7 linked regions of the Rattus norvegicus genome follow. The main gene of each other region encodes a partner of the protein of the gene in region 2 in a complex. Links are inferred from orthologs where the notes say so. Each region holds a gene or a part of one and is shown on either strand. Other genes may lie near its edges. The genes, in order: Kat14, Kat2a, Supt7l, Tada2b, Wdr5, Taf4 and Tada2a.

Evidence for each region.
Region 1: Kat2a (region 2) and Kat14 share a complex: the UniProt entries of both Homo sapiens proteins name them as parts of the ADA2A-containing complex. The link is inferred for Rattus norvegicus from reciprocal best matches to the Homo sapiens genes KAT2A and KAT14.
Region 3: Kat2a (region 2) and Supt7l share a complex: the UniProt entries of both Homo sapiens proteins name them as parts of the STAGA transcription coactivator-HAT complex. The link is inferred for Rattus norvegicus from reciprocal best matches to the Homo sapiens genes KAT2A and SUPT7L.
Region 4: Kat2a (region 2) and Tada2b share a complex: the UniProt entries of both Homo sapiens proteins name them as parts of the TFTC-HAT complex. The link is inferred for Rattus norvegicus from reciprocal best matches to the Homo sapiens genes KAT2A and TADA2B.
Region 5: Kat2a (region 2) and Wdr5 share a complex: the UniProt entries of both Homo sapiens proteins name them as parts of the ADA2A-containing complex. The link is inferred for Rattus norvegicus from reciprocal best matches to the Homo sapiens genes KAT2A and WDR5.
Region 6: Kat2a (region 2) and Taf4 share a complex: the UniProt entries of both Homo sapiens proteins name them as parts of the TFTC-HAT complex. The link is inferred for Rattus norvegicus from reciprocal best matches to the Homo sapiens genes KAT2A and TAF4.
Region 7: Kat2a (region 2) and Tada2a share a complex: the UniProt entries of both Homo sapiens proteins name them as parts of the ADA2A-containing complex. The link is inferred for Rattus norvegicus from reciprocal best matches to the Homo sapiens genes KAT2A and TADA2A.

The regions. Positions count from the first base shown.
Region 1 is NC_086021.1:152,192,830-152,197,504, reverse strand, and holds the start of Kat14 (cysteine-rich protein 2-binding protein), read right to left. Parts: upstream 2,946-4,675; 5' UTR 2,687-2,945; coding exon 2,428-2,686; exon of another isoform or gene 2,332-2,427; intron 691-2,331; exon of another isoform or gene 289-690; coding exon 170-288; intron 1-169. Other genes in the region: protein PET117 homolog, mitochondrial, read right to left, coding at 2,950-3,096. UniProt on the Homo sapiens protein: Component of the ATAC complex, a complex with histone acetyltransferase activity on histones H3 and H4. May function as a scaffold for the ATAC complex to promote ATAC complex stability. Has also weak histone acetyltransferase activity toward histone H4.
Region 2 is NC_086028.1:86,131,825-86,135,094, forward strand, and holds the end of Kat2a (histone acetyltransferase KAT2A), read right to left. Parts: intron 2,940-3,270; coding exon 2,829-2,939; intron 2,504-2,828; coding exon 2,360-2,503; intron 2,143-2,359; coding exon 2,028-2,142; intron 1,930-2,027; coding exon 1,893-1,929; intron 1,801-1,892; coding exon 1,737-1,800; intron 1,637-1,736; coding exon 1,552-1,636; intron 1,411-1,551; coding exon 1,217-1,410; 3' UTR 711-1,216; downstream 1-710. Other genes in the region: ATP-dependent RNA helicase DHX58, read right to left, coding at 1-19. UniProt on the Homo sapiens protein: Protein lysine acyltransferase that can act as a acetyltransferase, glutaryltransferase, succinyltransferase or malonyltransferase, depending on the context.
Region 3 is NC_086024.1:30,652,237-30,656,901, forward strand, and holds the start of Supt7l (STAGA complex 65 subunit gamma), read left to right. Parts: upstream 1-1,691; 5' UTR 1,692-1,766; intron 1,767-4,665. Other genes in the region: Slc4a1ap (kanadaptin), read right to left, coding at 1-31, 695-1,357.
Region 4 is NC_086032.1:78,502,480-78,507,217, reverse strand, and holds the start of Tada2b (transcriptional adapter 2-beta), read right to left. Parts: upstream 3,064-4,738; 5' UTR 3,055-3,063; coding exon 2,785-3,054; intron 1,046-2,784; exon of another isoform or gene 1-1,045. Other genes in the region: Ccdc96 (coiled-coil domain-containing protein 96), read left to right, coding at 3,649-4,738. UniProt on the Homo sapiens protein: Coactivates PAX5-dependent transcription together with either SMARCA4 or GCN5L2.
Region 5 is NC_086021.1:31,234,257-31,238,926, forward strand, and holds the start of Wdr5 (WD repeat-containing protein 5), read left to right. Parts: upstream 1-1,489; 5' UTR 1,490-1,770; intron 1,771-4,526; 5' UTR 4,527-4,609; coding exon 4,610-4,670.
Region 6 is NC_086021.1:187,394,762-187,398,761, reverse strand, and holds the end of Taf4 (transcription initiation factor TFIID subunit 4), read left to right. Parts: intron 1-1,704; coding exon 1,705-1,872; 3' UTR 1,873-3,130; downstream 3,131-4,000. UniProt on the Homo sapiens protein: The TFIID basal transcription factor complex plays a major role in the initiation of RNA polymerase II (Pol II)-dependent transcription.
Region 7 is NC_086028.1:69,501,214-69,505,257, reverse strand, and holds part of Tada2a (transcriptional adapter 2-alpha), read left to right. Parts: intron 1-947; coding exon 948-1,054; intron 1,055-3,628; coding exon 3,629-3,688; intron 3,689-4,044. UniProt on the Homo sapiens protein: Component of the ATAC complex, a complex with histone acetyltransferase activity on histones H3 and H4. Required for the function of some acidic activation domains, which activate transcription from a distant site. Binds double-stranded DNA.

The sequences.
Region 1 (4,675 bases), on a different chromosome or scaffold from region 2:
ACTCACTAAATTAGCAGCCTTGTTTTAAAACCGCGAAGTCTTCCGTCCACACATTGTGTGCGCATGTCCACTGTGAACTGTAAAGCGCCCTCCCCGCAAACCGCTCTAAAGCGCCTCACTCTGGATGGCCACCCGGCCTGACGTGCCCAGAGAAGAGCTCTGTACTCACTTGCTGCCATGTCAGCTTCAGCCTCTCGGACTGCTCCTTGCCGTCTGCCGAGCAATCGGCACAAGTAAACCTGAAAAAGTTATCGCCCTTAAGGTAACTGAGCTGTTCCCTCAGCTGACCTAGGAGAAAAAACAAAAAGTCACATCACGGATTTGCCTCGTGCCGTGGAGATCCAACAGCTCAGTTAACCGACTAGCTCTCCGAGTTTCCCGTGGTAGATCTTTCTTCTTCTGCAGCCATCAGGAGAGTAGTGGAGGAGAGAAAGAGAAAAAGGTTGTTTCCCCTTCTGCAGCCAGGTGCCTGCCTCTCCCAGACCTAAGGCTCCTTAGCTGTTAGGGGGAAGGTCCTGGAAAAGCAGGTATGGTTGCTCTAGCTGGATCTCCCAGCAGTCACATTCCTGACTCCTCTAGGCCAGTCATCTTCATTCTTTCAGGGAATACTCAGCTGGTGCCGCCAGCCACACCAGGCTCGAACTGGATATGCAATGTCTAAGGCAGATAGGACCCACACAAAGAACACAGGTAAACAGGACTGTACTGGTTGTAGATTTCCGTGGAGCATCGGAACCACCCAGGTGGCTGGGCTTTATGTCCTTCCTAAGGTCAGGTCCACCCCCTTATGGAATGCTCCAGTCTCTGGGGTGGGGGCTGGGCTCTGCATTGAAGCTCCCAGGTGATGCTGATGCATTGTGCAACATGAAAACCTCCAGAGCAGAATGTACCTTGCATCCCAGGGCAGAGTAAGGACAGAGAAAGGGATGCTCAACCCCATTTAGGAAGGAATAGAGGTCTACTGGGCCCAGGGGGAACAGCCACTAGCTAGAAGAAAGGGCTGCCTGAGGGACAGATGTGCAAGGGAGCCACCCAGGTGCATATTCCAGGGAGAAAACAAAAAGGTACAAAATCCTAGGAATCAAAGAGTTGTAAAGAATGAAAAGTCCACCCTATCTCCCTAAAAACCTTAGTAGGGCCCAACCATAAAAGTCCCCTTAAAAATCTGGGGTTGGGGGGTTGGGGATTTAGCTCAGTGGTAGAGCGCTTGCCTAGGAAGCACAAGGCCCTGGGTTCGGTCCCCAGCTCCGAAAAAAAGAAAAAGAAAAAAAAAAAAAAATCTGGGGTTGGGGATTTAGCTCAGTGGTAGAGCGCTTGCCTAGCAAGCACAAGGCCCTGGGTTCGGTTCCAAGCTCCGAAAAAAAAAAAAAAAATCTGTCCGGTGAGGACGATGGGAAAACCAGTTTTTACTAGACAGCTGAGAAACAAACACCAGCTAAACAGTCAATTCTAGGTCTGTTCTCTAACCACTGCTATTATTAACCTATTTACAGTAGCTATTTGAACAATTTAATTCATTTTTAATAAAAGTTTCAACATACCAGAAAATGACCAACTTCATTAAGAGTTACACTAGCTATGAACTCTTGTACAAAGCAACCCTCCAGGGCACATGCCTTTGCTCATCTCTTGCCTAATGGAGAACACTGTTTAAGAGTCGAGAGGGCCTGGCGAGGCATGCTACGTACGGAGCTGGCAGCTGGAACCTCGAGATCTGTGCGCTGTGACTCCTGCCAGGATGAACGAGTTCCACGGTAGAAAACAAACCTGGGCTAAAGGCAGCAACCAAACACCACTGGACTGCTGATCCCAACCTTCCCTCAGGAGACAACAGCAGTACTCCACGAATGTCAAATAACTCACAGAACCTGAATTCTATACTGACACCAGAATGTGTCCCCCAACCCACAGCATAATCTTCTTAGAAAAATATGGCCAATGACTTAATACAGGATTCCTAATTTTTTTTGGGGGGTGGGGGGCTACCATCCAGAATGTTAACAATGGGATAATGGTAGACAGTTCTTATTAATACAAATGTGGTTTTATGGGCCTGGAGAGATGGCTCAGCAAGTAAGAGAACTTAATTTGCTTGCAGAGGATACAGGCTCAATACCTGGTGGCCACAGTGGCTCAGGACCATATGTAACTGCAGTTTCAGGATCTGATGTCTCTTTGACATTTGCAGGCACTGCATGCACATGGTGACATACACTCGGGCACACACACATACATATAAAATGAATGACTGTTTTAAAGAACTAAAAAAGTGGTCTGGAATAAATTTACATTTGGTAAACTAGACTACTAATAATAAATATAATAATTATATTTTTATTCAAGTCTATTTTATTAGTGTTTTTCACAGACTGGAAACAAGCCATCACATAGGGATCAACCAAGCAAAGGAATCGAGAAGCTCCTTACTGGCTGGGATCCACTTTTGGCACTTGTCACAGAAGTAAGACAGCTGCTCCTCCATCCATGATATATCTCCTTCATCGCTGTTGAGGGAATCCCCACTCTGGTCGTGAGATAAGTCCACTGATGCCTGATCCTCTGATTCCACAATTAGGAGAGTCTCTCCCTCCACCTCACCTTCCTCCAGCCCTTCCGAGGTAGACGTTCTCGTGGCTTCATCATCATGCCGACTTAGGAGCCCACTCAGGTGGATGCTACTATCCATCGCCCCTGCACTCCTAAGCTGACAGGCACTGTTGCAGGGATCCCCCAGACAGACCTTCAGAAGAGCATTTGCCCCCAAGTACTCTCTCCACACACGACAGACTCTTAAAAGAAGCAATTCAGAAGACAGGACCACTGTCCTTCAGTTAATGAAGTGTAACTGGATAGTGATTTTGGGGGCAGCTCTCACTAGCTATTCTCTACCACACACCGCACCCACAGTTACACACACCAACTCAGCGCTGCCCCATCGGCTTCTCAAAGTCAGGTATTTTGAGATCCTTTCTCCAACATCTTCTCTCTTTCTGCTTCAAGTTGCTTAGTCAAAATAATCTGTTCTCCCAAAAGACGAATGTTTTCTTTTTTCTGATTCTGCCTCTCAATGTCTCTGATCACTCCGTCACGAAGCCTCTAAAAACACAAGAAGCAGATTTTAGTTACCCCCTGAACAGGTGGCTCCCATCCTGTGCCTTCAAATCTAAATAACAGTGCCACCAAAATACACTCGAAATGTTCCAATTCTAAATACCCAATTACTATTTTAACCTTCTGTACAATGTAAATAAAGAAACCACCAAGTAAATCTGGTAATGTGTTATGTTAATACTTAAGTGGCTTCTCATCACATTTTAAGAAATCCCTGAACACAGAAAATTTAAAGGGAATTGATTTTAAAAAATTAATTTAAAAGGCTGCACTATGCTGAATTTTATAAATTTAATTGGAAAGTGATACTTTTAAAATCTGATGAATCAGTACAGAAAAACTGTAAACTATAAGCAGTTACCTAAGACAAACAATAAATACCAAGAAAAAGAACAGTAAGGGTGTGAGAAAATACAGGACTTTATCATGTAAAGGCAGAAATATAAAATTCTCAATCAATTAGATTAGAAAGAAAGAAAAAGGACTATTACCATTAAATGATAAGTTCCTCAGGGGTCATTACCTTGAAAAACACTAGACGCAGAATCTCGGAATGTGAACCTGGTGCCTAATGTGAATTTAAAAGGTCTGCTCCGTCACTACTGCAAATACTCTATACTTTGTAGCTCAGAGGGGCATATTTGAAACAGACACTTCATAAGAATTTTTTTTTTTCGGAGCTGGGGACCGAACCCAGGGCCTTGTGCTTGCTAGGCAAGCGCTCTACCACTGAGCTAATCCCCAATCCCTCATAAGAATATTTTTGGGTTGGGGATTTAGCTCAGTGGTAGAGCGCTTGCCTATCAAGTGCAAGGCCCTGGGTTCGGTCCCCAGCTCCGAAAAAAAAAGAAAAAAGGAAAAAAAAAAGAATATTTTTATTATTTTTTTTTAAATTTTATTTTATCTGCATGGGTGTTGTGGCTACAAGTTATGCAGGTACAGTGTTGAGGCCAGAAGAGAGTGACCTATACCATGGCACTGCAGCTACAGATAGCTCTGGACTGAAACCCAGTTCCTCTACAAAAGCAACCAGTGCCATCTCTCCAGTTCATTTTTCTTTTCAGAGTCAGCATCTGCATCTTTCTATGTAATCTTGACTGTCCTAGAACTCATTATGTAGACCAGGCTGGCCTCAAACTCACTGAGATCTGACTACCTCTGCTTCCCACCTATCTCTGTTTTTAAAGACTGGCCTAACAAAGAACCAGAATCAACCTAGCTGTTCACCAACAGATGAATAAATGATGAAAATCTGGTGTGTGCACATACACACCCACAAATATATATACATCTACATATCTATATATATGATAGAATACTTCTCAGCTTTAAAAAAAGTTTAAAAATTTGTTGGAAAATGGATAAACTTAGAATGTATAATACTGAACAAGGTCACGCATTCTCAGAAAAAAAGAAATCCCAGTTCTCTCTCATATGCAGAGTCTAACCAATGATATTTGTATATAGAGAAATGAAGGTGCATGTGGGTATAGCATAACATGGAGAAAAGAAAACAAGAAAGGCTTTATATGAGGGGCTGAGGAAGGACTGAACAGGAATGGAC
Region 2 (3,270 bases):
GGTAGGGTCGCAGCTCCATTCTGGAATGGCAGAGGGTTCAGAACACGTACCCTCCCCTTCCTGCCGGACAGCCCAATCAGCTGCAGAGGCTGTTCTTAGCCAAGAACTCATAGATACCTACCTGGAACTTACCCTGGCCAGGATTAGGATGGGGTTTGGAAATGAATAGCAGACTAGCCTGGTCTCTGCTGAGGTTTCTGAAGCTCTGAAAAGCCCCAGGCTGACAGTTCAGTCAATGAAGAGAAATGAAACTGAAACAAGGGGAGGAGCCAGACGGAGCTGGAACCCAGCCCAGCCACCAAAAGAAATAAAAGTTAGACTGGAAAGGGAGATACTGGCAGAATAGGTAGGCCTTCACTGCTCCTGGGCTCTCTAGCTCCTCATGTTTTCAGGGGGCAGTAACCCCCACCCCCGGGCTGAGCTTAAGGCCTGGAGGTGCGGGCCTTGGCTGCCTGCTTCCTGGTCCAGGAGTCAGGGAAGAGACAGGCATTAAGGGCAAGCTCTTGCTCTCCCTTTGCAGGTGAGACAGGCTGGAAGCTACTGGAGCAGAAGAGGTGAGGGATGGCGGTCAGACAGGCCCATCACCCCACCATATATAGCAGGGGTCAGTGGCACCACTGTAGCTTGAAGTTAGGCTTCCAGGTAAGAAAGGGAAGGACTAGAGGAACGAGGGTCAATCTGTTAAGTCTGGAGCTGGACACCCCCCCCCCCCAAATAATCACACAGGGGGAAAAAAAAAAAGCTTTATTGTTCCCTCCAAGGGATTAATGCCAAGGAATGAATGGTCCTCCTGCCCCCAACCCCGGGGGACAGGTGGACAACAGTGTAGGACGAGCCGAGGCCCCTCATAGTTCCTCCAGTCTGAGCTGTTCCCACGTCGAGGCTCCTCACTGAATAGTCCTGGTCCCGGGAAACAGGCACCTGGACCAGGCTCAGGACGCTCAGCCTGCATAGCTCGGTAAGGACTAGCAGTTCATTCCCTGGCCACCAGACATTCTACAAGGGGCTGGCCCCAGACCAGACACCTCCCTAATGTCGGATGCAATGAAGGTGGGAAGAGAGCTGCAGGCTTGGGAGTAAGTGCCTGCTGGCCAAAGTCTGCAAGATTTGGGGCCCCTGGCTGGAGTTTCTCCCGCTGAGTCAGGGAGAGGGGGTCCGGGAGCACCCAAACGGATCTGATGAGACAGAGGTGGACAGTGCAGACCCCAGTTGGGCACTACTTGTCAATGAGCCCTCCTTCTTTGAGCTTGAAGTAGAAGAACTTCTCCAGGGCACTGGCGCAGCGACAATATTCGCTGTCTGGGGGATTGTACTCCCGGCAGTTGGCGATGACCCGCTGCAGGTCGGCTACAAAGAGCTTCCGGGTCACATAGTAGCGGCTGCGCAACCGTTCTGTCATGGTCTTCAGGTCTGGGTCACAAGGGAGAAGGCACATGACTTTAAGAGGTGAAAGGAGAAAACTGAGGATGCCCACCATGCTGGGTACCTGACTCCGCACAGACAGTAATAGATTGGGGCACGTGTTAGGGATGAGAGTACAAGGGTCCTCACCAATGGGGAAGCGGATAACCTCGTAGTAGTCAGGGGCCTCCGACTTCTTCACAGGTTCCATGAAGGGCCAGGCACTGGGGTGTGACTAGAGAGAACAGATGAGCTGAGGACAGGCCCAGTGTTCACTGCCCAACCGCAGACTGCCACCCACTTCTGTTACCGACAAGAGGACCTTGGCCTCCCACCTTGATCTGAGCCAGCAGGTTTTTGAGGGTCGTATACAGCTGGTCAGGGTCCTTCAGCTCCTTGCTAGAAATGAGAGATATCAAGTCTGAGGTCTGGGTTCTTCTGCCCCATCCTACCCCCCATTCCATGTTCATTCCCCTTGACTGAACACTTACCCCTTCTCCTTTCCCAGTGGCTTCCAGCCTGTCTCTCCTGCAAAGGGGGTGGGGGGGGTGGGGAAACATCTCTCAGAATGCCTGCCCATGCCCGGAGAATGCCCTCCTGCCCTTTCAGCCAAGGCCCCTGCTCACGAATGCCAGGGACGCTCTCCACAGGGATCTGCCTCACTCCTTCTTTGAAGCAGCTGAGTCCAGGGTAAACCTTTCGGATCTGTGCCTGTTTGCGCTCAATCAACTTCTTGATGATCTGAGGAAGCAAGGGTCTGAGGGAGCCAGCTCAGGCCCAACCACCCCCAAGACCATGGTCAGTAAATGGCAGCATTTACTTTTGGCTTTTTCTAAGAGGCAGGGCAGGAACTTACGACCTGGTGTGTCTCTACCACACATAAACACACACGTACGACAAGTCTCAGTGCGTTAGCTCCCCAGTGCAGACCCGCACAACCCTGCGCAGACATGTGTACCTCCTTCTGCTTCTTGATGATGTGGGACAGCTCTGTGTAGGGGATGCGGGGGTTCAGCTCACACTCCATCAGGGTCGCTCCCTCATAGTCCTTGATGTAGCCCAGATATCGGCTCTTGGGCACCTTGATGTCCTTGGAGAAGCCCTAGATGGGTGGAGAGTTAAGACCCAATCCATCAGCCAGGTTTCTCCAGCTTTCACAGTCTCTTCTCTGGTGTAGAGCATGCCTCCTCTTACATCTCTGAACTCCGTGTGCCTCTGCAAAGGCTCCAGGACGGCTGTTCCTCACCTCCTCCAATCCCCAAAGGACCTTCCAATCCCTGGCCTTGTTCTTCACTGGGAGCAAACAGGAAGGGGGGGCGGGGCTTCCTCACCGGTGCCGGGTGCAGTGGGCAACCAAAAGGAGCTCTACGGGGCACTGTGCACACAGACGGTGCCCGAGGTGGCGGTGCAGTGATTCCGAGGCTCACCTGCTTCTTGAAGTAGCCGATGGCGTACTCGTCGGCGTAGGTGAGGAAGTACAGGATGCTGTGTTTGATGTGGTACTCCTTCAGGTGATTCATCAGGTGGGTGCCATAGCCCTGTGGGGGAGACGGAGCAGGGAGGTCAGGTGGCCAGCAGAGGATCAGAGTTTGCGGAGAGAAAGTAAAGGGTTTCTAGATGCTCCTCTCTCAGGGCCAGATTCCAGGTTGATTCTTCAAAGACCCATTTGCCAGTTAGCCCATGACTAGGTCAAAAGCCCCATTTCGCAGGAAAAACACCAAAAAGACCCTGATAAGTCAGGTTGTGTATGAAGAACAGTCTGAGGTCAGTGGACCACGGACGCAGCAGAGCTGGGCTCCAACCCAACACGGCTGGGGTTTCAGAATAAAGGGGAAGAACAGAAAGGGGTCACAGAGGCCCGCTCATGTC
Region 3 (4,665 bases), on a different chromosome or scaffold from region 2:
CAGATTCTGCCTCTCGGTCTTCCTCTGGTCCCTAATGAATCAAGGAAAAAGTATATACGTATGTGGATTAAGAAGTGGAGAAATTGGGGCTGGAGAGATGGCTCAGAGGTTAAGAGCACTGGCTTTTCTTGCAGAGGTCCTGAGTTCAATTCCCAGCAACCCCATGGTGGCTCACAACCATCTGTAATGGGATCTAATGCCCTCTTCTGGTGTGCATGAAAACACTCATATACATAAAATAAGTAAACAAATGTTAAAAAAAAAAAAAAAGGAGGGTTGGGGATTTAGCTCAGTGGTAGAGCGTTTGCCTAGCAAGCGCAAGGCCCTGGGTTTGGTCCTCAGCTCCGGAAAAAAAAAAAGTGGAGAAATTACTTTCTGAGACACTGCAGTTATGCAGATCTGTGGCTCCGGACTGGGCCCCTATGCTTTTGTCAATGGTTACTAGAAGAATCTTTTTTTCTCAACTAAACCTTAAAGAAACTCAGAATCCCAGCACAGTGAAGTCCCAAGATTTTTTTTTCAATGTGGAAAGGTTTAATGAGAGAAGAGAAGAAGAAGAGAGGAAAGGCCGGCCATGGGCACGTGGGGGGAAAGGGGAAGATGGGGAGAGAAGGGACAGGGACAAAGAGGGCACGAGAAGAAGAGCAAGAGAGAGCAAGAGCCCACGATTTTTATTTTAGATTTTTCTACCTACCTGAAGGATAAAGAGCCGAGTGCTGCCTCCAAAGCGAATAACGTGCCCGACATGGACTCTACAGTAAGTGCGGGGTGGGATGCGAGTTTTGTTGAGGAAAGTGCCGTGGGTACTTCCCAGATCATAGAGATAAAAGCCCTGCCCCTGATCCTCAGAGTCTCCGCTGGGATCCGACCCCCGGTGCTGTAGTACAGCATGGTACCGAGACACGGAAGGATGCTCCAGGCATATGTCACAGCTAGCAAGCCTCCCGAAAAGGCAGTAGCTCGTGTCTTTCAAGGTGCGTGTACCAAGGATGGTGCCACCCTTCAGGGTTTCGAGACTGTAAGGGGCCGTGGCTGGGCTGCCCCACGATGGCTCTTGGTACGGGGGAGCCCGGGTCGGACCGCCAGAAGCAGGAGCTACCCTCGGAGAGCGGAGCTGTTCCACCGGTGGACCCCCAGTCTCCTCGCTGTCCGGCTGCGGTGGCGAGACCTCGGGCTCCCCACATCCAGAGTCTAGCTGCGCCGTGCTACATTCCTTCTTCACATCTTCAGGAACTGATGGACTGGAGGCCGGAGCCTTACTCCGCACTGCGGGAGGCACCGGCAAAACAGGCTTCTTAAACTCGCTACTAACATCCTGAGGTGCTGGCGCTTCTAACTGAGAGGTAGCATCAGCCATCCTCAGACGGGTGCAATCTCAAAATGTGTCCCTCGGAAACCCCTACCCCTCGCCCCCCATGTTCCTGCTCACGTCTCCTCCTCCTTCTCAGGTCCCTGACGTTTCTCTGGATTGCAACGTTGGAGTTCCCCTTTCAAAACTCACAGAACTTTAAAGTTGTGAATAGCACTAGGGAGTGACAATACCAGAAAGGGGGGAGGAGCTCTAGGAGTGCTGTGCAGAACACGGACATTTTTAGGCGTTGCAACCGGATAGTAATAACTTCCTGTGGCAGAGGGCGCTTGGGAAGAAGTGCTTCCGGTGGCCTTGGCCCATTAATCAATAAACAAGGCTCCTAGGCTTGACCTAGTCGTCGACTCGGACCTGTCAGAGTCAAGGCAGCCGCGTAGACCACTCCTGAGACAGGGCGGTGAGTGTTTGAGCTTTATTTTCTGGTTCAGGGTCAGAACGTCCCATTTTTCTGCTGCCCTGTAAATCAGACTTCCCAGGATCCTGTGGTTGGCGCCTAAGCCTAAGCCTGCAGATACCGAGCAAGGTATCTTGCTCCTACTCTGCAGCTCCCGAATTTAGGCTTGATAACTCCTTTACTCCTTTTGTGAAGTTGGGAAAGAAGCAATTTCTTGTTTGTTCATTCTTTTATTATTCGTAACAAACTGTTGAAGCAGCATGTTTAGTGGCTTTACGAACCTGTGCATCGAAACCTCTTTTCTCTTTAACTCTTTGTATTTACGACGTTGGCACGACACTGCACCACAGCTTCCACATCTGAAAAATTGCAAATAGTAGTGTTATTTTTAATAAGATTGTTGGAAAATTGAACTAAGCAGTAGTTTATATTATAACTCTTTGACAGAGGCCCGGATACTATACGAAGATGGTAGCTGTAACAAGTGGGAGAATGCAGATGAATAAGTAAACTAAAGTTAAGGTCCAGGGATAAAAGCAAATGAATGTGAGAATACAAAGAAAGGGGGTGTGTTGGGGAAATGTTGGGGGATGGCCATTTCAGTTGTCTTAAAGAACAAATTCAAGTCTGACAAAGATGTAGAAGGCGGCAGAGGATTCTGGCAGAGATCCCAACTCAAAGGTTCAATTATAAAAATGTCTGATGTTCTCAAGAAGCTGAGTAATGGGGCTGGAGAGATGGTTCTGTGGTTAACAGTGCTTGCTGCTCTTCCAGTGGACCTGGGTTCCATTTCTAGTGCCCACTTCAGGACAGTTCACAACCACCTCTAATTCCAGCTCCAGCGGGATCTGATGCCCTCTTCAGATCTCCTTGGCACCTACATACACATGGAGCATACCTACATACCCAACCCCCAACAGACAACAATAAAAATAAAATCTCTGTGAATTCATGGCCAGCCTGGTCTACAGAGCAAGTTCCAGGACAGCCGAGGCTACACAGAGAAACCCTGTCTTGAAATTAATTGATTGATTGATTGATTGATTGATTAAAAATAAAATACATTCTTAGCAAAGAAAATAAACTGAGGGGCCAGTTAGATGGCTCAGGAGGTAAAGGCACCTGCTACCAAGTCTGACAACCCGAGTTCAATCCGTGGAACCCACATGGTGAAAGGAGAGAACTGACTCTCACAAGGTTTCTTCTGCTTTTCACATGCACAGACACCGAAAATAAGTAAATGGGAGAGAGAGAGAGAGAGGGAGAGAGAGAGAGAGAGAGAGAGAGAGAGAGAGAGAGAGAGAGAAGAAACTGAGTAGTATATTGTTAGAACTGAGGTCGTTTCATCCAGGAAGCCCCTCATTTACCTGCAGAGCACTGAGCTCATGCCTTTAAAATAGCAGTGTCTGCTTGTTGTTATACTGCAATGGTTTGCTTCTGTTACTCTTCTCTCAGGACAAAGATCTTACACCTTCACACTTCACACTTCATCTGGAGAAGTAAATTAAAGACAGGTAATAGGTTTCATTGAATGGTAAGCCACAGAATTTGACTTTTTGCAAGCAAAAGAAAACAAAAAAGAAAAAAAGCTTGAAAGTGTAGCTCAGTAATAAATCACTTTCATAGCATGTGTTCAGTCTTCAGTACTGAGAAGGGGGCGGGGAGGCAGGGAGAGAGAGAAAAGGAAAAAGTCTAGCAACAGAGCCAAGTGTAGATCAGATTCTGAGAAAGACTGGAGCAGCAGTTCTCAACCTTTCTAAAACTGTGACCCTTTAACTATATAAGTACAATGTAGCTGTCTTCAGACACACCAGAAGAGGGCATCAGATCTCATTGCAGATGGTTGTGAGCCACCATGTGGTTGCTGGGATTTGAACTCAGGACCTCTAGAAGAACAGCAGTCAGTGCTCTTAGCCACTGAGCATCTCTCCAGCCCATAAAATTATTTTCATTGCTACTTTATAACTTTAATTTTGCTACAGTTCTGAATCCTAATGTAAATATCTGATATACAGGATATCTGATATTCCTTATGAAAGTGGTGCTCCCCAAAGGGGTTGAGAACCACTGGACTAGAGGAAGAAATACTTGTTAGAAGGCAGCAGAAGTCTCCCAGACTTCTGGGAGACAGCTCAGTCTATGAAATGCTTGCCATTGCAAGCGTGAGGATCTGAGTTCAATCCCCAAAACCCATATTAAAAAACCCAGGCATAGGTGCATGTGCTTATAAACTTAGCTTGTAAGGAGAGGAGCAGAAACGGGCAGATCCCCGGAATTTACTGTGAAGGGGGCGGTTCTGATGCTAAGGTCTTGTTCTCCAATTGGTTCTTGATTTGTCAGTACAGGAAGCTGGGGGCCAATTGCTGGGCGGAAGGAAGGTACAGGTGGAACTTCCGGGTCCCAGGAGGAAAAGGGAGAGGCAAGGAAGGGGAAAGGTTTTACTGCCATACTTTGGAGGAGGAAGAAGGGAGCAACTGTGTGAGGTCTCGGGAGAGCTGGGGCCTGTGGCCACTGCTCCAGGCGGGTGGTCATGGATGTTTGGCAGGGGCTAGGTGGGACTAGCCACTGAAGTTCGGGGCAGGTGTAGAGACAGAGATAAACATTTTAATAAGGGTATGCTTTTCCAGGTGGGAGACGGCAACTCCCAGCAACTATGCTGAGAAGGCAAGTTATAAAGAACAAACTGGGTGTGTTTTATTGACAGACTCAAGGGAAGATGGGAAGGGGCTGATCCCTAGAGATCCTGTCTGAAAAGGAAGACAGACTGTTGCCTGAGGCTGAGGCCTCCACGCCCTAAAGAATGTGTATTTGCTCATGTATATGTCCGAACTTGGGAACATAAGGCTGGATTAAAGGTTCATGAATGGCACAGCACAGATTGGAAAGCACCTATTAGTAATTT
Region 4 (4,738 bases), on a different chromosome or scaffold from region 2:
TCTGGTCTCCAACCACATTACTTAATGCTCTTAGTGCTGTAGTGGAGGTCCAAATTATAATCACACCTAGTTATCAGGGGCAAAGCTATGGAATTCTTGGCAAGTAGCTTTTATTCTCAAAGTTGCCGTCTTTCAACTGCAAACTAAGACCATAAATTCACCCCCACGGTGCTGCTTGTGCAAGTCACACGACATGTACATAAAGGGTACAACGTAGACTGGCATAGGTTCTATACAGGTCCAAAGTGAGACATGCTTCAGTGTAACAGGATATAAGCTCGGAAAAGAGTCACAAATCCAAGATGTAGTGCTTTTGATGGAGAAAAACAAGGCTCAGAGGAGTAAAGCAACTGGCCTAAGAGAGCACAGATAGAGGGGGTCACAGTGCCTCCTATTCCTGAGGCTCAGTGGCTGCATTCTCAGCCTGACCCTGAGACTCCTGCTGCTTCAGCAGGTAGCAGTCCATGTGCTACACACAGGCAGCCAAGCCCCAAGGCTCTTCCCCTTGGGCTTTACTCCTTCCAAAGCTAAGACTGGGCCTTATGAGAACTTGCATCTTAACTTAAGCTCCTCTGGCCTTCAAGCCTGAAAGTACTGCTTCAGAAGAGGCCTTCCCCATCTAGCCTGTTTATTCATCCACGTTTTACATGCTTTAGTTCCTGAGTGCTGTGTGCTTCTGACTGTACTACATGAATGGGGCACAAACATGAGCCCAGGTACAGACTCTACAGACCAAGATTTCTTTCCTTTTTAACAAAATAAGATAGAACAAAAACCATAACATTGAAGTTGGACAAAGCAAACCAACAGAAGCAAAAGAGAAGGCACAAGAATCAGAGACCCACCATTCACACTTGGAAGTCCCATAAAAAATACTAAACTGAAAAGTAAAATACATACACGATAGCCTGGTGCAGACCCATGCCAGCCCTGTGCTTGCTGCTTCAGCTCTGTTCATTTGAGTTCATCTGAGCTGTGCTCAGTTCATTTAGAGGGCCTTGCTCTCCTGGTGTCCTCCCCTCCTCCCCTCTGGTATCTTCCCTCCTCCCCTCCTCCCCTCCTCCCCTCTGGCTCTTATGTTCTTTTCACCTCCTCTTCTGCAGGGGTCCCTGACTACAGCCCATATTTCAAGAGATAAAGTAAGCTCAGGGCTGGAATTAACACTCTGGAAATAAGTGCTGCGGAGGAAAGAAAGGCCCTCCAAAGCAGTGACATGCAAGGACAAAGATCAGTCAGTAAGTAGTCTTGAGGTGAGAGCACCTCAGGCAGAAGAAAGGAAAAATGATCAAGGCAGTAAGCGTGAGCTCACAGAGAACCATAGACACTGTCAGGCCTTGCAGGCATTGTTTGTAGTGTAATTTAAGAAGCAGCAGTACTGCAAGTTGCTGAGGGCCAAAGAGATACTGCTTATGCTTTTAAAGCCCTATGGTTGTATGTGAGAAGGGCTATGAAACAGAAGGAAGAGGCAGGTAAACCATGAGCAGTAATCACAGGAGGTAATCCGCATCTGGTTCTGGCCGGAATTAGCAGCTACCTTCTGCACATCTTTTTAAACAGATGACCACTGACCAACTAGATGTGGATGAAGGCTTTAGGTTGGCTCTGTGTGTAACTGAGTCTTCACAGGCAATCAGGCGGAGAGGGATCATCAGGTATGTGACAAGCTCCAGGAACAGAGCAAATGAATGCCACACTTTCTGCTCTGAGGCTCTTCTTCAAGGTCCTTCATGCTGCCTGATCTGTACAAAGCAAATGCTCAATACACACCAATAAACACCACTTACAGACAAAGTAACCCATTGTTTTTGGAGAGCAGGAGCCATGGTGTTTGCCACTGGGACGACATCTGTGGAGTAGAATCCTTCCTAAGTGGGGAAGTGGGTCCAGAGGGCCACTCATATGATGATCAGGAACAGGAGGGCAGTCGGCTGGAGCAGGGGAAGCTTGGAGAAGCTAGAGTCAGAGGGTCTTAACATACCAGGGAAGATTCTGGACAGGACAGGGTCGTGCTTAGCTCCCTGCTTCTCTGAAAGCCTAAAGAGGCTACATATTCCTGGAGGCAATGGTGACAATGCAGCCAGATCTCTTCCCTAACACAGGTGAGGAATAGAATGGAGAACTCCTTAGATACCCCTAGAGAACACCCAGGAGCCCAGCACACTATCTGGCTGGCACACACGAAGGCTCTTGTCACCAGCAAGCCACCTCTACAGAAACCTGACAGCTAGAAAGCAGACCCCAGGGTCCATGCCTCCTCAGGAAGACGCCTTTGTTCATTCTTTACTGCCCACCCATCACACCGTGTCCTGGGTTCTGTGGAGACTAAGAATTAAGCAAGACACTTCTACTCATAGAGAACCTTAGCACAGGGCACATGCTGACACCTACAGAAAGCACACGAAGCCCCGAATGCAGACTAGTGCAGGCGGTATGGGCAGCCCAGGCTTCTGGCCTTCCCCACCACTATGCTCAGGAGAACGCAACCGTATCAGGGGAACTCAGCAAGCACCGTGGGATCTAGCTCAATGCCATCGGACACAAGGATAAGCCTGGCAAGGCACAGGGCCTACCCTCCACCCGCGTTCAAAGCACACCTCTTGAGGACGAGTGTGAAGGGCAGACAGCTCCGGGTCGGGGCCATGGGTCAAGGCCCTGCTCTACCAGCTGTGTGGCCGCTGGTGACCAACACATTCTGGGCAGAACCGCCTGACCACCTGCGGCCCTCCGCAGCGTGCACCGAGTCAGCCAGCCATGCCCTCCCCCTAGCCATAGTCCGCCGCTCACCCAGTTGCCGAAGCCGAACTGCTCGATGGCGTCCAGTAGCAGCTGCTCCTCGCGGCTGGTCCAGCCGCCCTCTGCCTCAGGACCCCAGAGTGTGAATCGCCCGCCGTCTACCAGCTGGTAGCCGTGGTAGCGGCGGTGGTGGCCGATCTCCGCGCCGGCCGAGAAGCACTCCGGGCACAGCTCGATGTCCTGGCACTCTGTGCAGCGGAAGCGCAGCGGGCTCACCTCGGCCAAGCAGTACACGCAGTACTTCTTACCCAGCTCCGCCATCTTCCCCCGCTCGCCCGCCGCCCGGCCCGCAGCCGCCGCGCCCCCGGCCGTCAGCGCCCCGCCGCCTGCCGGGCTCGCTGCGCCCGCCGCGCCCGCGCCGCTGCCGGCCGCTGCCACGGCCGCCCCCGCCCAGGCGCCGCCGGAGCCGGCCAGGCGGGCCGCGTCCCGCCTCAGCACGCAGGCGCCCTCCGGCCCGGCCCGGCCGCCGCCGCCGCCGCCGCCGTCTCCCCGCCGCATCGCGCAGGCGCCCCGCGCGCGCCCCCTCGCGGACAGCAGAGCTTTTGCTCTGCGCCTGCGCGCGGGCGCCTCCCGCTGCCTCATGGACTGGAGAAGCCGCAAGGCCCCCCCCTAAGCCTGTCAGCCGGCGGGGCGCGGACCGGAAGTCGGCCACGTGAGCCACGCCTCTCGCAAGCCAGCGTCCAATTAGCGCCTCCCTTCACCTGTTCGCAGATCTTCATTGGCCTAATATTACCGGGAGGTGGAGAGAAAGGAAAAGCAAATGACCAATCGCGGGGCCCACCGCGCGCCCTGGTTGCCCCGGGAAACCTAACAGCAGGCATCAGCGGGGCTCAGACCCGGGCCAGCGGGTCGAATATGGACAGCCAAAACGGGGACACCGAGGGCGAAGGCCGAGCCGAGGAAGGCCTGATCAGGCAGCCGCCCGAGATTAAGGTTAGCTCCGAACCTCTGACTCCGGCGGACCCTACGGAGCCGGAGCCGGAGCCGGAGCCGGAGCCGGAGCCGGAGCCGGAGCCGGAGCCGGAGTCGGGGCAGGAGCCGGAGCCGGAGCCGGAGCCGGAGCCGGAGCCGGAGCCGGAGCCGGAGCCGGAGCCGGAGCCGGAGCCGGAGCCGGAGCCGGAGGCTGAGCCTGAGCCTGAGCCCGAGCCCGAGCCCGAGCCCGAGCCCGAGCCCGAGCCCGAGCCCGAGACCCAGCCGGTGGCGGACAGCTTAAAAGCAGAGGCTTCAGACGAGCATGAATACACGCCTGTTGAGGCCCCGGAAAGTCCCAGGGACTCTGAGGTCGCGGGCGAGGCAGTAGAGGCTGCGAGCGAGGCGGTATCCCAAGAGCCAGAGAGTCTGCCACAGACCAAGCCCAAGACCGAGGCGGAGCCCAAAGAGCCGGAGGACAAAGACGAGGACGAGGATGAGGATGAGAGCGACGAGGACGAGGATGAGGACGAGGACGAGGACGAGGAACTCGACAAGTCGGAGAAGAAGAAGGGGAAGAGGGAGAAGACGAAGGAGTCACGGTTCCGGCCCTCTCTACCTCTGACCACGATTGTTGAGGAGGCGGCTGCCCCAGCCCCACGAGCTGCGAAAGAGAAAGCAAAGGGGCCACAGAAGAGAGACAGTGAAGAGATCGAGGTGATAGGTGGAGAACCGCGCAAGAAAAGCACAGAAGAGCATCTTCAACCTGGAGAGGAGAAGGAAGAAGGGGAAGAGAAAGTAGAGAAAGTAGAGAAAGAGGCGGACGCTGATGAGTTTGAGTGGTCGGCGGATGTGCGGAAGCTGCAAGAGCAGCAGCTGCGGGGCGAGCTGGTAGAGCAGTATCACTCCCTGCTGGTGGAGCGTAACCGTTATCAGCGCTACAACGTTTACCTACAGCAGAAGATTCATGAGACCCTACGCAAGAAGGGTCTGGAAGCAGCAGCGGAACCTGTGGACAAGGGCGCTGAACCAGAAT
Region 5 (4,670 bases), on a different chromosome or scaffold from region 2:
CTGCAGGCCAGAAAACCTGCCAGGGGCTATCTTGTGAAAATGAGATAGAGCCTTTAAAATGGAGCTTCAGAGCCATATGGAAGCTCAATTGTAGTGGATGCTGCGGCTGCCTGGAATGTGAGCGATGGACACCTACACTAAAGAACAAACTGCCTGGTTCCAGATGCATGCATAGGCTGGGGAGGACTCGGAGCCCCTGTGTTAGTGACACTTGCCTTTCCTGTCCACAGTTTTGTTTGTCTTCTAAGTCAGGTAGCTCCTCTCTTGTTAGCATGCAAGCTCCCTTCTTTCCTGCCTTCCCTGGACACGCAGGGGAGCTTTTCCTGCGGCGATAGTTCCTAAGATCTTTTTCTGAGTGTGGGGGTGCACAGCAGAGTCTCTTTGTGGCCCAGCTTAGAAGAGAGGCAAGTATGTTCAATTTGAGCTGTGGTTTGCAGTGGCAGGAAGCCCCCGCCCTGCGGTAGGCAGGGGAGACCGCAGGCGCTCCGGACTTCCGGACCTCGTGGACGTCCACCAGTGGCACCAAGAGGGTTTCCTAGAGTCCAGGGCAGGCACAGGCCACGACAGGCAAGCTGCTATTAGCTTGGCGACATAGCCTGGAATTTAACAGGAAAGGCACATAAGCACATTTTTACCCATCTTTAACTGCAGAGAGTTCCGGTCTGCAGGCACTGAAAATTAGTGGCGGTCAAATAGGAAGCAAGAATCATAGGTGGGCCCTTTAAGGCGCTCCGTCTCCTCTAATTTTTCTGACCCTCGTCGCCGCCCGTTGCCCCGCCCCCTCGCGCACGCGCAATCCCTCCCGCCTCCCGCGCCGCGGCCGACTGGTCCACCAGATCGTCTGCTCTCGCGCGCAGGGCCAGCCGAGGCGACGCCAGAGCGCCCGGCCCCGCCGCCCCGGCCCCGGCAGGTAAGGGAGTGACCCGGTCCTGCGGGCGCGAGGGGGGCGGCGACCACGAGGGCCCACGGGCTTCGGGATCCACAGCGCCGCACGTGTTCCGTGGGCCTCCGGCCGGGCCCGGCGCCGCATTTGTGGCCGCGCCCCGACCCCGCCGCCCCTTGTGGCCGCCACGGCTCGCTACTTCCACTGCGGCCCCTGCTGCGCCCCTAGACCCGTAGCCCTGCGAGCTCCTCGTGGCTCACACCTCAGGCTGGCGTCCCTGGGAGTGGGGACACCCAGCTAGCATCTCTCAGGTTTCCTTGGCCACTTGGCGCTTTCGTGCTGCCACCACAACCTTCACCCGTGTCCTAGTGCAAGTTTCTACCTGACGAGGGCTGACTGGTCAAGTGGGTTTTGAGCACTGTCTGGGTCAGCCAGGCAGTTGAGAGTACAGTGGTGTGAAGCCAATGGTACTAGGACCTAGGGGTATCCAGTAGTCCAGAGAGGATGGGTTGGAGCTCTTTGTTGGGTTACCTACTGCACTCACCTGAGTGACTGGACCATTCTGTCTTCCCATACTTGTGTACTCAGTGTCTAAGGCGGAAACAAGGAATCTGCATTTGATTGGAGGGAGACTGATGGCTGCTGCCCTTCCATGATCACGTTCCCTGTAGTGTAAAGCTGCGGTTGCCAGTTAACTGCCTCCTTTGTGGGCCGTGGAGGCCAGCTCCAAACCACCTGCTGAGGATCCTGCTTAACACACCTCCCTCCCAGAGCTGTCCTCTTCAAGTCCTGCTTTCCGGTGACCTTAAAACAGAACACCTGAGTGCTCTCTGTCTTGGACTCTACCCAGTGGAATTGGAAATTGGTTTCCTTTGAGACGGTTTCAGGTTGGTGCTGGCTTCACATTTAACTATGAATTCCCGAACCTCCTGAATGCTGCGAGGTAGATTGGCTAATGCTAATGTTCTTTCTTTTCTTTTTCCTTTTTTTTTTTTTTTTTTTTTTTTTTTTGGTTGGTTGTTTGGGGCTGTGAACTTATTAGAGCTGGGATCAAAGTGTGGTGCACACCCAGTGTCTTCATATGTTAATATTTGGCTTCCTGAAAGAATCAGTTTATAAAGGGTGGGATGGGATGGGCAGGGTTGGGTATCCTCGTGCTTGTTTTGCAAGGCCATTCACCCGAGGCTAGGTGAATCTCTTTATATGCTAAAAGACACTGCTTAGTTCCTCGAGACTTCCTACCCCAGAGATCTGCCCTGCTCCCTTGGCCTTTTATTTCCCTGAAGCAGGGAGATGTGGTAGGACTTTCTATCTCATTACTTAACATCTTCTCAGCTCCTCTTGCTACCTGTATGATCCACAAACATGTTGGCTCTGGGAACTCATGGCCATATAGTTGCGTTAAGCAGCTTCAGGTCAGGCCTGGGAGTTGATTTATGCCTGTTACACCAACCATACTGCGGCTATTGAGGCAGGATTTTGAATACTGGTGCATAGCAAGACCCTGTCTCCAAAAAGCTAAAAACACCAAGCAGCTGGTATTTCCTGGGCACAAGAGCTTTGCTTTGTGGAGGGACCCAGGCAGGGGACCTACCCCTAGTTGGATCCTTGCACCTGGGCTTGAGCTACAGCAGAATTTGACCTTGGTGGAGCAGGCTACACCTGTGCCCTGTGTGGTGGGTGTTACTGTTCCTTCCTAGGATTGAAGACTGAGGCTTTGGTCTCTTTTGGTGTTGTCTCCTCTTAGTCTCCCGTGGGGTCTGTGTGAGGTGTCAGGTTTAGTCTCAAAGCTAGGCTGTGCATCGTGATTTCTCCTTACACTGATGGCTGAGGGATCATGATGGCCAGTGATGTTTGCATGTCTTAGGAGCGCTCCATTGGAGGAGCACTAACTCACTTCCCAGTCACGGGATGGCCTGTAAACTGTAGGAAGTTGTTGCAGTTGCACTGCTGAAGGGAGTAACTGCTTTCCCTCAGCTCTGCAGCTTCTTCTGGTGCAGTTTCTCTGATGTTCTTCCTGCTACTCCTCCTGGGAGGTTTCATATGGGGGCGGTGTCTACTTTGCTGTACTCTTTCTTGTAGCTCTTTTTATAGTACTCTGTGCAAGAGTCCTTGAGCTCTGTACGCTCTTAGCATTGTAGAAGGCAGTTTGCAGCCTGTGAGGTCAAAGGGAGCCGAGGTGGAGGCCACCAGGTACAGACAAGACTCCTGTGTTTCCTCAAATTCTTTGGGTGTATTTTAGAATTTGCCTGAGTTTCCAAACTTCTGCACAGAAGGTCTACTCTTGTCACTTGGTCTGTTGTTTCTGTTAGAAAGCCTTTTAAAAACTGTATCAAAAGGCCCTGGGTTCGGTCCCCAGCTCCGAAAGAATAGAAAAAAAAAAAAAACTGTATCAAGGAATCTTTGAAGCAGAGCTCACATTCCGGTACACATCTGTATACTGCAGTGGGAAGCCTTCTTGAAGCTTAAGTCTTAGGCTCACAGAAGGTTCAAGAGTAGACCATCCATCACACAGAGCACCTGAAGCTGCAGCCTCGGTACAGTTATCCCCAGCTTGGAGCAGTTTATTTGTTGTAGGGTTCAGTGCTGCGGTCATGTTCTCCTTTTTACCCATTTTCTTGGGAATATTTTTATTTTTATTTTGTTTGAGTACAGTGTAGCTGTCTTCAGACACACAGAAGAGGGCATCAGATCTCATTATAGATGTGGTTGCTGGGACTTGTACTCAGGACCTTTGGAAGAGCAGTCAGTGCTCTTAACTACTGAGCCATCCCTCCAGCCCTAGAGTCACTGTTTTTTTGTGGGGGGGTGAGGTGGTCTTATGCATGTTAGGTGAACACTCTTCTATGAACAGCTCAGTCCCAAGAACCTTTTTGTTGTTTTGAGACAGGATTTCTTCTGTGTAGCCCTGACTGTCCTGGAGTTCACGCTTTTTTTTTTTTTTTTTTTAATATTCCTTCCTCTCTTATCTTTTTATAAAACACAGCACAGAGTATGCCTTTTTTGTGCGTGTGTTTTATAAAAATAAGGAGAGAAGGAATATGTTTGGTGGAGGAGAGATATGGTGTGAGGGAATGGTGTGGGGGGAGGGGGTGCCTCTGCAGGCTCATGCGGAGACATTCCTTCCCCTGAGGGACCAGCCACACAACAGTCAACAGTATATTGTAGAGTTTATTCAGGGCATGGGAGGGGAGTTGAGAGGGTAGCAGAGACCGAGAAAGGCAGAGATAGAGTTGAGGGATGCCAGCCATGAGCACATGGAGAGAGAAGGGTGAGGGGAATGGGGAGAGAGGAGTAAGGAGGGAGAGCAAGAGAGTGGAGTTCACTCTTTAGACTAGGCTAGCTTCAAACTTGTAGATACACCTTCCTCTGCCTCCCGAGTACTGGAATTAAAGGTGTGTACCACCACACCAGGGCAAATTTTATTTTACTTTGGTTTTCCCCTCTTTATGTAAATCTGTGTACCTTGTGCATGCTGTCTACAGAGGCCAGAAGAGGGTGTCAGATTCTCTGAGCTGGACTCACAGATAGTTGTAAGCCCACAAGTGGGAATCAAACTTGGTCTTCTGGAACAGCATTTGGTGAGCCTAACAACTGAACCATTTCTGCAACAACCTTTATTAAAGAGAGGATTTGTTTATAGGTCCCATAGAGTACGGGTTAGCTGACGGCTTCTTCCATTGTGACTCCCTCTTCACGGTGTCCTGCCCTGTGGGCTTCAGAGCCATGGCCACGGAGGAGAAGAAACCAGAGACAGAGGCTGCAAGAGCACAGCCCACTCCTTCCT
Region 6 (4,000 bases), on a different chromosome or scaffold from region 2:
GCCTCAGCCTGCACTTTTGATTTTACAACTGAGTCACCTCCTATTGCTTATAAGGCCCACAGAACACAATCGAGAATCTGTGTCCTGTTTTCACCTGACTGCTGTCCTCAGGTTTGAGCAGTGACAGCTGTCCTACCGGGTTGGAAGCCCAGGCTGGTGTGCTTACATGAAGCTATGGGCCTCATTAATGCTTGTCAGAAAGTGTAGGTCCCAGGTTGATCCTGTTTGTCTCAGTTTCTAACTTTTAGAACTTGTTCAATATTGTGCCTGAGATGAGTGTTCCCTGCTCCTCCCAGCCCTGTTGTTGGCTGTTGAACCTAAAAGTAGAGGCATGAACTACAGCCTGGACACTGGCCACACACCACCCTGCTGCCCAGGCAGAGTCTCAGTGGGCCAGGGCACCATGTCATTGTCACCTGGATTTCTCTCTTGGGCCTGTAGTCAGGTGATTTAGATCAGGTTTATTAGCAAGTGCAAGAAGAGTGAAGTCACTGCTGAAAATGGAGAGGCAGTTTAGACCAACCTCAACCTGCTACAGGGCTCCAAGACCTGCAGACTCTGCCGGTCTCAGCAGCCCCCTCTTGCTGCTTCTGTTGGAGACCCTCCTCTATAGACTTTCTTCCCAGAAACTGGTTTGTTGCTCCTTTCCAGATCACCAAGACCCTCTAGAAGGAGGCTCATGGGTATGCCGGCCCAAGCACAGCCCAAGGTGGCTTTTGGGAGACCAACGGCTTCCCTCATTCCTACCAACTGCACATTTTCACTGTGGCCCTTTAAGAGGCACCACTAATCTCAGGGGTGAAACACTACTTAGAGCTGTTGCTGCCAACAACATCCAAGGAAATTGTCCACCCGAAACGACATGGCTACTAAGGTGATGGTGGAGGCCAGGGCCACAGATGGACAGTGGTGTCTCCCCGCATCTGAGGAAAAGTACCCTCTCTTCAGTTGGACTGTCATATGCATGAAGAAACTGTGGCCAGGTCATGCAGGCACACTTGTACCTGACCTGCCTGCCAGCTTCCTATGATTGCCGTCTACTGACTCCTGGGCCCCTGTGGCCTCACGAGTAGCAGGTGGTACTTGAGTTTCCTCAGCTTTGACTGTGGAGGCATAGTGAGGATGCCACTGCAGCATGGTTACTTGAATACACATGAGCAGTTTAACCAGCAGGACACATACCTGGTTCTCTACTGAGTCCATGGGGAGCTTGTGGTTTGAGCCCAGCAGGGGTCAGATGGAGGCAGTGGTGAGATCAGCCAGCTAGGGGAGCAGAGAACTCCCTTCCCTTGGCCGTGATCACCGGCAGTCGGCCTCCCCAGCTGATCAGCAGCCCACCCTGTCCATGAGTTCAGGCCTAGTGCCTCTGGCAGCCAAGGAGGGAATGGCACAGTCCAAGTGTGCTCTTTGGTCTCCCCTCGTCTGAGCCTCTTGGGCAGTACTGTGCTGTGTGTGTGGGGAGTGGGGGCACTTCAGAGCCTTGGCTTTGTCTTCTCTCCCACTCAGGACCAAGTCTGTGAGGACACTGGAGCGGGTGGGTATCCTGAGTGTGCTGTAGAGTGGGGACTTAAGTAACAGGACAGTGGAAGGAAGGGGCTTGTCCATGCCTGTTTCCTTCAAATTCTTGGGATACTTGAATCTTCCTCCGCCTCCTGACTGTTCCACCGTCACTAATGCACGTGTCTTCTCCCTTCTCCTCACTAGGGCTCAGGCCCAGGCGCAGCAGTCCCAGGCGGCTCCGGCGTGGGAACCCCCAGACAGTTCACACGGCAAAGAATCACGCGGGTCAACCTCAGGGACCTCATATTTTGTTTAGAAAATGAGCGTGAGACAAGCCATTCACTGTTGCTCTACAAAGCATTCCTTAAGTAACAGGATGAGCCGGCGTTTCTGATGGGACGCTTGCGGACGTTTTTATATATTTGCAGATTACGCCTTTTTGTAACAAGCAAATGGGATATTGTTTAAAAACAGCCACCTCTTTACAATGGAGCAGTTTTATACTCCTGTTTATAAATCAGCTCTTCAGTGCGGCAGAAACCGTGTCTGCAGCAGAGAGAACACAAAGGCCTGTGGATGCTCTCACAGGACAGCTGACCCGAGCTCATCCTCGGCTGAGTGGCCTTCTTGCCAAACAAGCCATATTTAAAGACTGATGGAAGCGCTTAGCAAATAATTAGCAGTTGCTCATCCTGTGTGCGTTTTGGTTCCGCTCACCCTGACTCACCCGCTAGGTGTCCGTCTACAGCCGATGACCTCATCTCTTATTTTACGTTGTAGCAGTCAGTTGGCGAAGCAAACTGATTTTTTAGACTATTTATCACCCCTCCCCGCCCTGTCCCTTACCTCCCTTCTATATGAAACTCCCCAGGATCATAACCTCCAAGCAGGGTCCCATTTCTGCTAATGGAGGCCGGGGTGCAGCACCTGTACAAATATGTTTTATTTGCTGCAGTTTGGAAGCTGTAAAGTGGAAGGAAATGAGAACCTTTTCAGCATAAATATATTTTACTTGCACTGTGTTTTTAGCTCAGAGTGAAGACTTAGATGAAATAAAATCAGAGTTGAGAAGAATCAACAGCAGACTGTTTCTCAGTGTGGATCAAGTGTTGGAAATGGTTGGTGTATTTTGTCAGTAATTGTACATAATTTTTGGCACATAACATAAGATGGCTATGTAAACTATAATTATTTTGCTAAGAGACTGTATGCAAGCTGTGGCCAACCTTACAGGCGTCCAGAGCAAAGCCCCTTCTTTGTACCTATTTTTTTATTACAAATATACTAATTGGTTCTTTATATTTTCAGAGGTTATTGTATTAAATTGTCTATGATAGTACTTTTATGACTGTAAATACTTGGCTTTCTCCGTGTGGATTCTCATGTTAGACTTCAATTCGCACGTGTGAACTGAACGCTGATCAGTATTTTTTATGACACCCAAGAACTGTTACACCTTTCATTTTATCTTTTAGGAAATCCCCGTCTTTCCATTTTTTCATGTAAATTTTGCACAGTTACTTGTTAATATGTAAATATTTTACTTTCAGAAATGAAGTTTTTAATTGCTATTGTTTTATATAGGATTGAAAGAAAATTAACTCCTTTATTAAAAACAAATTTATCTGTATTTGTCATGCCTATTTTTCCCATTTCCGAGTCTCTCTCTGGTCTTTCTGAATCATGGACTTAAACGAGCACAGGCCCCCTTCTGGACTGGCCAGTCCTTTGTCCTGTTCACCCAGAGGACACCAGAGATGCTGTGCTCTTCCCATTCTAGGCCTTATCCTGTACACCGTGGGGATGGGTATAGGGGTGTGTGATAGACACCCCTGTAAGCCTGGCTGCCGAGGCGGGGTGTGAGCTCCGTGCCACACTCAGGCCTGCAGCCAAGTTGTAATCCTACACTCCAGGGACGAGAAAACAAATGGTTAGAAAACTTGGAGCATGTTGTTAACAGTAGCACCAAAACAGAGCACGTGTCGGGTGCATGTGGTGAAGGCTACGTACGATAGTGTTCTCCTGTTGCTGTAGAGACTAAGGGAAGTGACTGAAGGAGACAGGGTTTATGCTGGCTCAGAGTCTGTCAGGGCGGGTGAGTCAAGATGGCTGGAGCTTGAGGCAGCTGCTTTTCCATCCAGAGTCAGGAAGCAGGGAGTTAACACTGCTTAGCTGCTGTTCTCCTCTTAATCCAGAATCCCAGCCATGGAATGATGCTACCCACTTTAGGGTCTTGGTGAAATCAAGATAAACACCCACAGGCATTCCCAAAGGCCTGTGTCTCAGTTGACACTGATTCTGCCATGTTGATGACATCATAAGATCCTTACGCCAGATTTGAGAAGATCTGCCCAAAAGTCTGTAGGTCGAGACCCCAACAGGGGATACATATCAGACATTCACAGTATAATTTATAGTGACAATTTGGTAATTTTGGTTTCTTTCAAAAACACAGAAAAAAAGACTGTGTTCTGGTTTAACCCCAGGTGAGGGGATGTGT
Region 7 (4,044 bases), about 17 Mb from region 2:
GGTTACGTAAGGTCCTGTCTTAAAAACAGCAAAAGGAATAAGCTTCAGGCAGGACATTCTTTTTTTTTTTTTTTTTTTTTTCTTTTCTATTTTTAGGAGCTGGGGACCGAACCCAGGACCTTGTGCTTGCTAGGCAAGCGCTCTACCACTGAGCTAAATCCCCAACCCCCAGGCAGGACATTCTTTACCCTGTCAGTTTTCTCCATGACTTCATTGTAAAGCAAGTGGCTGTTAGAGCAAAGAAGGAAAATGCTGTTATAGAATGTGATAGCTGAACAAAGTAAGTCCCCTCATCTCCCTCCCTAGGCCTTTGTCCCACATCCCAGGGGCAAGCCAGAGAACAATAGGTTGCTCTCACTTCAGAGAGGCAGGATTTAGGGCAACCTGGAACAAAGGTATCTTCCGACTTAGGGCTTTGGAGAATTTATATGTGCCGATTGCCTTCCTAGTTCAGAACAAGAGCCTGCATGCAGCAGTTTGCCGTTTCCTTGGTATCTCAAACCTAGACACAAAGCTTAAATCCTAAACTGGAATTCCTCCAACTTGTTAAGAAAAAAATTCAAACTTGCAGAGAACATGAAAGACCAGAGCAGTGACTGCGCCTGTGTGCTGCTGCCTGGGTAGAACAACTGTTGACCTTTTGTCTGGTTTGCTTTGTATGTGTGCACTGTGTGGGGAATGTGCCTGGTTTACTTTTCCTTGTGATCAGGTGGGCTCTGTAAAACTTTAAAACTTGTGTTTATGAGTTTCTCTGCAGGGGCCTTCTCTGCTTAGTGTTTGAAGCAGTAGGTTCTCTGGAGGAAGGAACACGCCGCCGTGTAATGGACAGGGTGGCTCTTGTTTGTATGTGTGCAATAAACTCATTTTGCTTCCTTACGTCTGTAACATAGTCAGTCTTCAGCCATTTGTAGAGTTCTAAGCTGATGTTTGTTTTCTGTATGTTCCAGATGATCCATCTGATAAGCCACCTTGCAGAGGCTGCTCCTCCTACCTCATGGAACCTTACATTAAATGTGCTGAATGTGGGCCTCCTCCTTTCTTCCTGTGCTTGCAGGTAACTCCCTGAGGAGAGTGTCTCTCCTGGTCTGTTTTGTGGATATAGTAACTCAGTAGCTTAGGACCACCCTGCATGAACTCTCTTCCTACAGGTAGTCTTCCCTGTAGACTTTACCGGGGAGGTCAGGAACGGATGGTGAGACAGACATGACTTCCACAGAGCTGCACAGCTCAGTGCTTACCACTTTCCGGAGTAAACTGAAAGACTTTGATTACAGGATTCCTAGCTGGCAGGGTGTTCCTTTTGACCTCACTGCTTAACTTATTAGAGTGGTCTTGGTATAGATGACAAGGCAACAGAGTGTTTTGTGGGCTATATTAGGAGTAATACTGGTTAGGTGTGCCAGGTACTGCTTAGAGTACCCTACTTTTATCACCCCTAAATCATCACTACAGCGCTGGGAAGTGAGTAAGTAAATATCTCCATTTTACAGATGAAATTCAGCCACAGTCTAAATAATTTGCTCATTGGGATTATCAGGACTTACCCACTCTAAGACACTTGATTCTAAGACACATTCCAGACATGGCAGAGATGGCTCAGTGGGTAAAGTGCTGTGCAAGCTGAGACCTGAGTTTGAATTCCCAATGTCTGTAAAACCTGAGCATGGTAGCATTTGCCTGTAGCCCTGTGCTGGGGAGGGCGTGGAGAAGCTAGGAGGAGCTGAACCACAATCTCTAGGTTCAGTGAGAGACCCTGTCTCAAAAAACAAAGCAGAGAGTGATAAATGAATATCCCCAATAGTGGCCTTCGTAAGGGCGTGCATAGGTGTGTGCACCTACAAACATACGCACACACACACCATTCCGTTTTAGACATGTTAAAATGTAAAAAAGTGATTCTCTTTGAGTTATAAGAATATATATTAGAATCCTAGCACTCAGGTAGAGACAGAGACTGGCAGATCTCCGAGTTCGAGGCCAGCCTGCTCTACAGAGTGCCAGGACAGCCAAGGCCACACAGAGATACCCTGTCTTGAAAAACCAAAAATAAAAATTTTTTTAAAAAAGATTATATACTGGGCATGGGGAGAGAATGGATAGGAGGAGGGAAGGTGAAACCAGCCTGGACTGCATAGCAAAATTCTTTTCAGTATACCAGAACCAAGAGAAAAAAACCCAAAACAATGGCTTTAAGACGACAGTATTCCATCAGGTTGATAGTGTCAGTAGAGGCCTGTAATTTCAGGCCTTGGAAAGTAGAGACAGGAAGAGGAGGACTTCAAGGCCAGACTAGACTACTTGAAGTACATGAGTTCTTGCCTCAAATAAGATAAAAATATATAAAAATAAAAAAAGAGCCTCTTCAAACCATCTTTTGTCTTGTTTTTTATTTTAGTTTATTTATTTACTTTTGGTGTTTGTTTTTTTCTTGCCTCAAGTTCATTTGTAAAAACAGCATAGGACACTGGTCACCTACAGATAGTGTGCAGGCAGGTGTGTCACAGTGGTCCATCTGTCTTCACATTGGCAGGAGGCTTTTCTATGGGGCCTTCACAGGGGCCTGGGCACCTTTGGCAGTCTGAGCTGGAGCCGAAGCCTGGCCCTTATCTGGAGCTGTGGCCTCTGCCTTGGTTTGGACCTTGGGCTTTGATTGGCAGAGCCTACGACCCTTGGCCATGTAGCTTCAAATCCACTTCCCAAGCTTGGGGTGAGCGCTGAAAGCCAGACGGCTGAGTTTGCAACTGAGGCCCTTTGGCATCTTGGGCTTATGGCCTGAGGCTTCACAAGGGCATTGATGGCCTCTGCACACACTTTCACTGCCTTGGCATTGTTGGCCTGCATCTTCTTCAGGCCTTTCTTGTTGTGCTTCTTGGCAAAGCTCATGTTCCCCAGAAACTTGGGATCAACCCCCTTAAGAAATTTGTATCTTTGTGACCAGGGATTCTTGATGCCATTTCCATGCTATTTGTGGGACACTCTGTGCGAGTGACCGTGCGTGCGTGCGTGCGTGTGTGTGGAGTGGTTCTTGGACTTGGCCATGTCTGCACGGCCCCGCAGCATCTGGGACCAGAAGAGAAAGAGCTACTTTTAGTGTTTTAAGACAGGGTTTCTACACAGCCCTAGCTGTTCTGGAACTCACTGTGTATGTAGACCTCTCTGGCCTCAAACTTGCATAGATCTTGCCTCTGCCTCCCCAAGTGCTGGGATTAAAGGCATGTGCTATCACGCCTGGCTTTTATTTTTATTTTTAAGATTTTTTATTTATTTTACGTGTATTAATTCAGTGTAGCATCAGATCCCATTACAGATGGTTGTGAGCCACCATGTAGTTGCTGGAATTGAACTCAGGGCCTATGAAAGCAGTCAAGTGCTGTTAACTGCTGAGCCCCCTTATTTTGATTTTTGAAGACATTGTCTCTTGTAGCCTAGCACCCCTAGAACTGGCTGTGTAGCTGAGTGAGGATGACGTTGAACTCTTAATTCTTCTAGCTCTACCTCCCAAGTGCTGAGGTTGACTCTGGTGCTGTGTGTGCTTAGCAAGTGCTCTACCCACTGAGCCTCATCCCCAGCCCCAAGAAAATACTTTTTTAAAGTAGCTTTTAGTAATTTAACTTTTTTTTTTCCACAGTGTTTCACTAGAGGATTTGAGTACAAGAAACATCAGAGTGATCATACTTACGAAATAATGGTAATGATGACATTGATGGAAATTTTCATTCCTTTTTCAAGTATTTAGACTGAGAACTAAGTTTCTTTCTCCATGTATCTCTGTCCTTTTCCCTTTTCTGAATATGGTAATTATTTAGTAGCCGTTTTAGTTCTTTGTAACCTATTAAAATACTTAAATATAAAAATGGCTGGAGAGATGGCTCCGTGGTTAAGAGCACTAGTTGTTCTTCAGAGGACCTGGGATCAATTCCCAGCACCCACACGGTGGCTCACATCTGTCTGTAACTCCAGTTCCAGAGAATCTATACCCTCATACAGACATGCAGGCAAAATACCAATGTATATGAAGTTTAAAAAAAAAAAACTCACTATAAT